2 linked regions of the Arabidopsis thaliana genome follow. The protein of the gene in region 2 interacts with the protein of the main gene of each other region in a pairwise test. Each region holds a gene or a part of one and is shown on either strand. Other genes may lie near its edges.

Evidence for each region. Proteins that work in one complex are often made in the same cells at the same time.
Region 1: the proteins of AT2G31370 (region 2) and EMB3114 interact in a two-hybrid assay, tested with the Arabidopsis thaliana proteins (one large-scale study listed by BioGRID).

The regions. Positions count from the first base shown.
Region 1 is NC_003071.7:15,114,987-15,118,745, forward strand, and holds the start of EMB3114 (Mitochondrial transcription termination factor family protein), read left to right. Parts: upstream 1-2,028; 5' UTR 2,029-2,194; coding exon 2,195-3,196; 3' UTR 3,197-3,234; intron 3,235-3,326; coding exon of another isoform or gene 3,327-3,347; 3' UTR 3,348-3,759. Other genes in the region: LOG2 (Putative lysine decarboxylase family protein), read left to right, coding at 274-304, 447-546, 671-741, 1,324-1,467, 1,572-1,661. UniProt on the Arabidopsis thaliana protein: Transcription termination factor required for chloroplast gene expression and protein synthesis in chloroplasts. Necessary for chloroplast photosynthetic complexes assembly by modulating the accumulation of photosynthetic proteins. Essential for embryogenesis.
Region 2 is NC_003071.7:13,376,820-13,380,578, reverse strand, and holds the start of AT2G31370 (Basic-leucine zipper (bZIP) transcription factor family protein), read right to left. Parts: upstream 1,651-3,759; 5' UTR 1,279-1,650; intron 1,162-1,278; 5' UTR 1,132-1,161; coding exon 512-1,131; intron 310-511; coding exon 177-309; intron 43-176; coding exon 1-42. UniProt on the Arabidopsis thaliana protein: Putative transcription factor with an activatory role.

The sequences.
Region 1 (3,759 bases), 1.7 Mb from region 2:
AAGATAAAATACTTTTATCAAATATTTCTTGGAAAATCAATATTTGAAACAATGCTCTGGACTCGCTTTTCAATTTGTTAGTTTCTTTGCCAAAATCTAAGGCCTAAGGGGAACAAGGCAGCTGTCTTTAGTTCTACTTAAACATAGACTTTAGTTTCGAAAGAAAGGATAAGAATCTTTGACCATTACAAATTAAGATGACTCGAAATTATTGATTCCATATACTATTTATAAGTGATAATTATTTACATTAGATGTTGATATTATGCGCAGGATCATTCCGAAGTCTCTAGCACCAAGAGAGGTATTTACAAATCTACCATACATTCTAACTAGCAGTGTGAAGAGCTTAACAAATGTATAGTTTATTCTGTATCGTCCAAATATATATTCAGTAAAATATATGTGAATTGAAACATTTTAATTATGATGAATGTGGGGTTTAGATAACCGGTGAATCAATAGGAGAAGTTATAACAGTATCGACTATGCACCAAAGGAAGGCTGAAATGGGTCGCCAAGCGGATGCCTTCATCGCACTTCCTGGTTTGTTTGTTTTTATTATTCTTTTTCAATCTATGTATTTTGTAAAGAATAAAAAAGATGTCTATATATGATCATGAAGGTTAATAAAATTAATTTGTTTGGTGTTATTGGACAAACAAAATAGGTGGATATGGGACATTTGAAGAGTTGTTGGAAGTCATCACCTGGTCTCAGCTTGGGATTCACACTAAACCGGTAATTAATTAAATTCGTTGGTGAACCCCAAAAAAAAAAATATCGTTTAGATATGACTTATGAGTACACATACGTTGAGACTCGAGTCAGTAAAAATACGGTTATCTCGGCAAACCATTAAAAAAAATAAAAAATAGAGATGTTGTCATATACTATGTATTTTATGGAGAAATAGAGATTTTCCTGATGAACTTACACAAATAAGAAGAAGCAAATTTCTTTGTTGGCTATATATGTGGGCATGTGGCATGGGTTGAAGTCTATATTCACATGGAATAATGTCTTAACTCTTACCTCTTGACAACAACAACAACAAAAAAATGTCTTAACTCTTACCTAAGATTTTGTCCCAAAAAAAAACACTCCTACCTAAGATCAAAAAAATAAAGAGAATCATAGTTAAGGTTGTGAAAACTACTCTAAAATCATATCGTACACTAATTAATGCATATAAAAAAGATTAGATTAAAACATGTAATATACACACACGAAGACTTTGTATACATAATACATGGTCAAAAAAATGCGAAACCTGAGAATATGAATTAAGTATATAACATAATGCGAAGTTAAAAAATGCAGGTGGGACTATTGAACGTGGATGGATTCTACGATTCACTATTGACGTTTATAGATAAGGCAGTGGACGAAGGCTTCGTCTCCTCCACCGCTCGCCGTATCATTGTCTCGGCTCCAAACGCTCCTCAATTACTTCAACTTCTTGAGGTTTTTTTATTTGCCTTTCATTACTTTTTGATTATTCTATTTAATACTATAGACTAAATGAACGAATCCCAAAATAGGATAATTAAATTAATTTGTAATCGCAGGAGTATGTTCCAAAACACGACGATTTTGTATCCAAAATGGTGTGGGACAATACCACGGATGCTTTCACTTTGGAAGGCGACTCGTTTTAGATATAGTTCATTTGTATCTTAGTCTACTTTTATTTTATTATTAAAAATCTCGTTTTTTATTGGCCATTTCAAATTTTTGATTTTTGTATACCATGTATTGAGCTTATATAACAATGGAACTTGCCAAAATCAAATTACTTACAAGCCACATGATTACATAATGGATAAAAAAATAACACAAAACCAAGTCCGTAAAGTATCGACAACTAATTATAAGCTAAGAAAAAACCAATCATTTTCCAAGCATTGAGACTTCCATTCTTAAAATAAGAATATGAGGCCCAATGGGCTTGGCAAGAAAGTTAAACAAAAAAAAGAAGAAGACAATTTTACAATTTTGTCAAGTTTTCAATTGAAATAAACCGGTTAAATCCCAATTTAAACCGGATCAATCAAGATATGGTAATCCCCTTCTCCTTCTCCAAAAATCACAACTCTGTTCCAAGTCTTATCCTTTCATCATCATCATCACTTACCTTCTTCACAGAGAGAGAGCTTCATCATCATATGTAATGTGAGATGTCTCTTGAACAATGCAACAAGAAGCTCTCTCTTTCCTCTCGTCCTCTCTCCCTTCCCTTCACCACAATTTTCCCTCTCTTTCTCGCCTCCGCTTCAACAATTTTCCCGCACTTTCCTTCAAACCAAACACTTCATCATCATCTTCATCATTCTTCAAATCCCCAGATATACCCTCTCTCTCCTCCACCACAACAACAACAACAACCACCGAAACCCTAGAATCCTCAATCCACGAGAAACTCATTTACCTCGATTCACTCGGAATCGATTTCCTAACCCTAATCAACCGTCATCCACCTCTCCTCTCCACCGCTCTCTCCGCCGTTGAATCAGTCGTCGATTACATGACCACTCCACCAATAAACTTCACTTTACAAGACTTTCGCCGCCTCGTCTCAATGTGTCCAGAGCTTCTCACTTCACCTTTAACCTCACACACAATCCCAGTCATCACTTTCCTCCTCCGTGAAGTCGGCGTTGACTCTATCTTTGACCTCCGTCAAGCTTTACGACGTCGTCCTCGTCTTCTCGCTTGTAGCGTCGATCACCAGCTTAGACCAACGCTTTACTTTCTCCAGAGAATCGGAATCTTAGATCCGCATAAACATACGTATCTTCTCTCTTGTAGCGTTGACAATAAACTCGTACCACGGATTGATTACTTCGAGAAGTTAGGATTCTCGCGGCGGAGCGCCACCGCGATGTTTAAGAGATTCCCGCAGCTGTTTAATTACAGTATTGCTGAGAATTATGAGCCGAAGTTGAAGTATTTGATGGTGGAGATGGGGAGAGATGTTAGAGAGGTTCTTGAGTTTCCTCAGTATTTCTCGTTTAGTTTGGAGAATCGGATTAAACCGAGACATGAAGCTTGTGCTGCGAAAGGTGTGAGGTTTCCATTGCCGGTGATGTTGAAGACTAATGAAGCTGGTTTTAGAGATACATTGGAGGTATGTTGTGATTCTTCTCCGCCATTGAAGACCTCTCGCCTTGTTACTGTACAAAAAGATTCTTGATTTATAGAGTTTTGTGTGCTAGGAGAACATGGAAGCAAGTGAGTGAGAGTTTCTTGCTTTTTGTTGTTGTTTTTTTGTTTAATGGAGTTGGAGAATTGGTGAGAATTGATGGGGTTTGCTTTGTTTTTAGGTACATTTTTGTAATGAATGATGATGAAGAACTCAATGAATGAAGAAACCAGCCTCTGCCTACATTTTGAGACACACACAGGGATGGTGAGTTAAATCTTGATAAGAGAAAGAATGTTCATTTACAATTCACGATTCCGATGTATTTCGGTCTAGTTATTGTTAGTGAACGAGAAATCAAGTGTATGTAAGTCCAGAAACCGTGTAGAGTTGCGATTTGCAGAGAATTGTGATTCTACAATTGGAGGCAAGATGATGAATGTGTGAACTGATTAGCGTAACGGTTTAGTTATTGGTCTTAAGTCTTAACAGGGAGAATTGGTTCTAGAGCTTTTAGTCCCTTTGATGGTTCGTGAAATGCCAGTGGTCTATGATCGGATTCTCTGTTTCCGTTCTCCTTCTTTTTTTGGGCCTTAAATCCGTTTTTATTGGGC
Region 2 (3,759 bases):
CTTCAGCTCATTGTTTTCAACAGTCAAGCCATTTGTGTCTCTCTATACAAACAGGAAGAAAAGAGCACAAGTTTTCAACCCATAAAAAATCACAATGCACGAACAAACGTTGTAAGGCTAGATTTAGTTTCATTTAGCATGAAGAAAGAACAACCGTACAATGAGTCAAAACTAACCTGTAAGAGGGTCAACTGGGCTGAGAGAGTTGTAGCCTCTGTTTGCAAAGTCTGTACTTTTCTCTCAAGCTCAAATATGTATCTCGTCTTCCTTTCTTTTGATCGTGCTGCGGACTGCCTGTTTGCCCATATCCTATTGTATGAAACAAAAACAAATTATACACTTGCTCCACTCATTAAAAAGCTGAAGTTATGTGGGAACAGCTGAAGCAACTAAATGACTGGTGGCATTAAGGTTCAAACCAAAAGCACACAAATAGTCACCGTGTCCATCCACACTATAAACAGGATTTAAGAAACCAGAGAATCACAGAAGAAAAACGAAAACCAATTACCTCTTAGCACGTTTAGGATCAATGAGAGCAAGCTCAGCAAGTTTAGTAGCAGACATAGACTTCTTAGCATCAATAGCAGAATCATCTTCATTTCCCGACATAAGCATCTCATTGATATTCATTGAACCATCCATAGATTGGCTATGTTGATGCCTGATTCTTGGCCTTTCGCCAAGACTATTAACCGTATTCTGAGGATTGGAAGTTGAGCCTGTGCCTGTCTGCATCATTGTCTCATTTTTCCAAGCAGTTCCTGATGGCTCACCAACTTGGGCAGAAGATGTAGCAGAAGAATTAAACTTATCCATATCAAGATACATAGAGAGCAAATCTTCTTCAGTCTCATCAGAGAAAGAAGCTCCATCAGCAGCATTACCAACCACACCAAGATCACTATCAAAGCTCAAATCATCAGGGAGAGTAAGTATTTCAGAATGAGCTCGCCGATGTCCAATCTTCTTAGGTGGGTTATCAAGCATACGGCTAATATCATGACTCATTCGATTAGCATCTGAACCATGACCAATGGGACCAGCTTCTGAGAATGCAGAGCATCGACCTGATGGAGATGGAGGAGGAAGACCTCCACAAGGAGGTGCTGGAGATTTCTCCTTATCCATTTCTACTGACTTATCACCAAATCAACGACCCTGCAAACGATTATTACACATAAGAATAGTAAGTTGGCAAATTAAAGCTAGCAACTTTCTCCATGGAATAGAAACAGTGAAGCAACTATAGAAAAAGGAGAAGTTTTTAATCCTAACCCTGAATCAAAGTAGATCAAAGGAGACGACTTTGAAAGACCCACTTACGAAATAGATCTAAATCAGCTGTAGTGTGAATCTGCAGATATAGAGAGAGAGATCCAGGAGGAAAAAAATGTAAGATTTTTCCGGTTAAAGTTAAATGCTTTTGGACAAAGTAGAGATTAGAGAAGGAAATTTAGTAAGGGAGAAGGAAATGAGAGGAAGAGAAGAGAGAGATCTAGGTAGGAGATGAGATGAGGGAAGGAGAGAATTCGATTCTTACAACAGATCATCATCATGGATGAGTAGGTAATATGCTCTTAAAACGCGTCGTTTTGCGTGTTCCGCCATTTCCGTGACTGTGACGATGAGATTGCAGAAGAGATTTTTGAAGAATTAATTTATGTCAACTTGTTACCAATCAGGCCAAGGCCTTTTCTTAGACAACAATTTATGGGCCTAAAGCCCATTAAACCTAAGCCAATTTATGGGCCTACTACATCTTTTTTTCTTTTGTTGGATTAGTATAGTATTAAATGTCTACTGATCACAAAAATACTTGTATAATATTAAATCCAATGTGTGATCTTATGATTTTATATTAATTAAACATTATTGTCTATCGGATGAAAAAAAAAAAAAAAAACATTACTGTCTATCTTCTTTTATTACATATCTCTGTTTAATAATATCCCCTATATTATTTGAAACTTTATCTTAAAGTTTAATTTTTCTAAATTATTTTAATTGACTTTTTATGATAGCAACAGATAAATCAATTATGATTGTGATTTGTTATGATCGAAGCAAAGCAAGATGTATATTTTATTTTATTTTTGGTTTGTAAATGTATCATGTAAACAAATAAATATCAGTTTTTCTTTTTTCATAACGTGGAAAATATATAATTAATATGAAAAATGAGATATTATCTGTTTAGGACAAAGATATTATTTGAACAGATTTAAACAAAAAATGAAATAATTTTCTCTTCTTTTTTTGTGTGCCATTAAATAATTTTTCCCTATAAAAATAATAATAATTGGTGATGGTACCACATGTTGTATCTGCGAAGCATCATTGTCCTTTTCCTAGTTGGAAAGGAATGTTACGGTGGTCGATTTCACAATTAATAATCTGAAAAACGTTTTGAAGTGATTGATATATTAACTTCTGATGTCCCTATAAAAATCAATATTATCTGTAGTGGTGTCCTCCTATATTCCTATCATATCATACATTTGCAATCAATTTCATCTGGCGATAGCATTAAAGTCACTTGGTTCAATGGTCAGGTTTCACACATTTCCTCGTACTTTGATATTACTCGTCTTTAATAGAGGTAGTTCTTTGTATTTATCGTGTGTGATGAATTGATTGAGTCTGTCAAAGTTTCATAAGCTAAAGCTACCTAGCTAAGTTAAGGGATTCTTTTGGACGGTTTTAGACGTAAACTCTGATTAGTAATCATACAGGGCAAAATAACATTATCAGTTAGACAGTATATCTGTATATAGTGTGTAATGTATACTAAAGTTTTGAAATGGTTAAGTCTCAGTGTATTTCTATTATATTCCTTAAAATATGATTTGTCCGGAAACATTTGATGAGATTAAGTAGGAGTTTTAACCACCTAATGTAGTTAAGTAATGCATTACATTGTGATGAATGTGAAAAGTTTATAAGTTAGGGAGGAATATGTTATATTGAGAGAGTATATTTGATCACTAGTAGTCAGTGACTTCTGACAAGCTACTACTCAAATGGCGATCAGGGACCATTAGCATCATTTAACTATTTTTTATCTCTGCACACATGTTACGATCATTTTTGTTTTAGAATATATGTTATATATATATATATATATATATATTAAGAATTCCAATATTGTAATGTAGAAGAAGTTCTGATACATGTAATATTATTTTCAAATCAAATCACGACTAGTTTTAAGAATACTAAACTCAGCAACTATGTATTTAGTCCGTTTTCAGGAAAGAAAACTACGTGACAACATTATGACTTCTTTTCCAGTTTTAGTTGGACTCAAAATACCAAACACAAACCTATATTCTCATTGAAACAACAGAACCAAGTCGGAAAAAATACTATTCTTCTCAAAACACGGAAGTGATTTTCTAATGTTTTCTTGACCAATGCAATGTAGTACTCAATTTTTTTTCCAAAAAATTAAACGTCATAAAATCTTGGGTTTAGAAATATGGTAATATAATGACGATTACCCTCCCAACACCATATATTTACCTGCTCCAAAATCCTAGTACCCAAAATTTTAATGTGGTTAAGAGTTCAGATCGTAATAAAATGTTTTGTTGAGTGTTAACATCTTCTTGTTAATTGATATCCACCATAACTTTATTAATGCATTACGTATGAATCGGTCATTAGGTTTAATGCTTGTTAATCGTTATTAACAAAGCGCAACTACCTTTCTCACTTTAGGCTTTCTTACTTAACCACAACCTAACAAATTTCTAA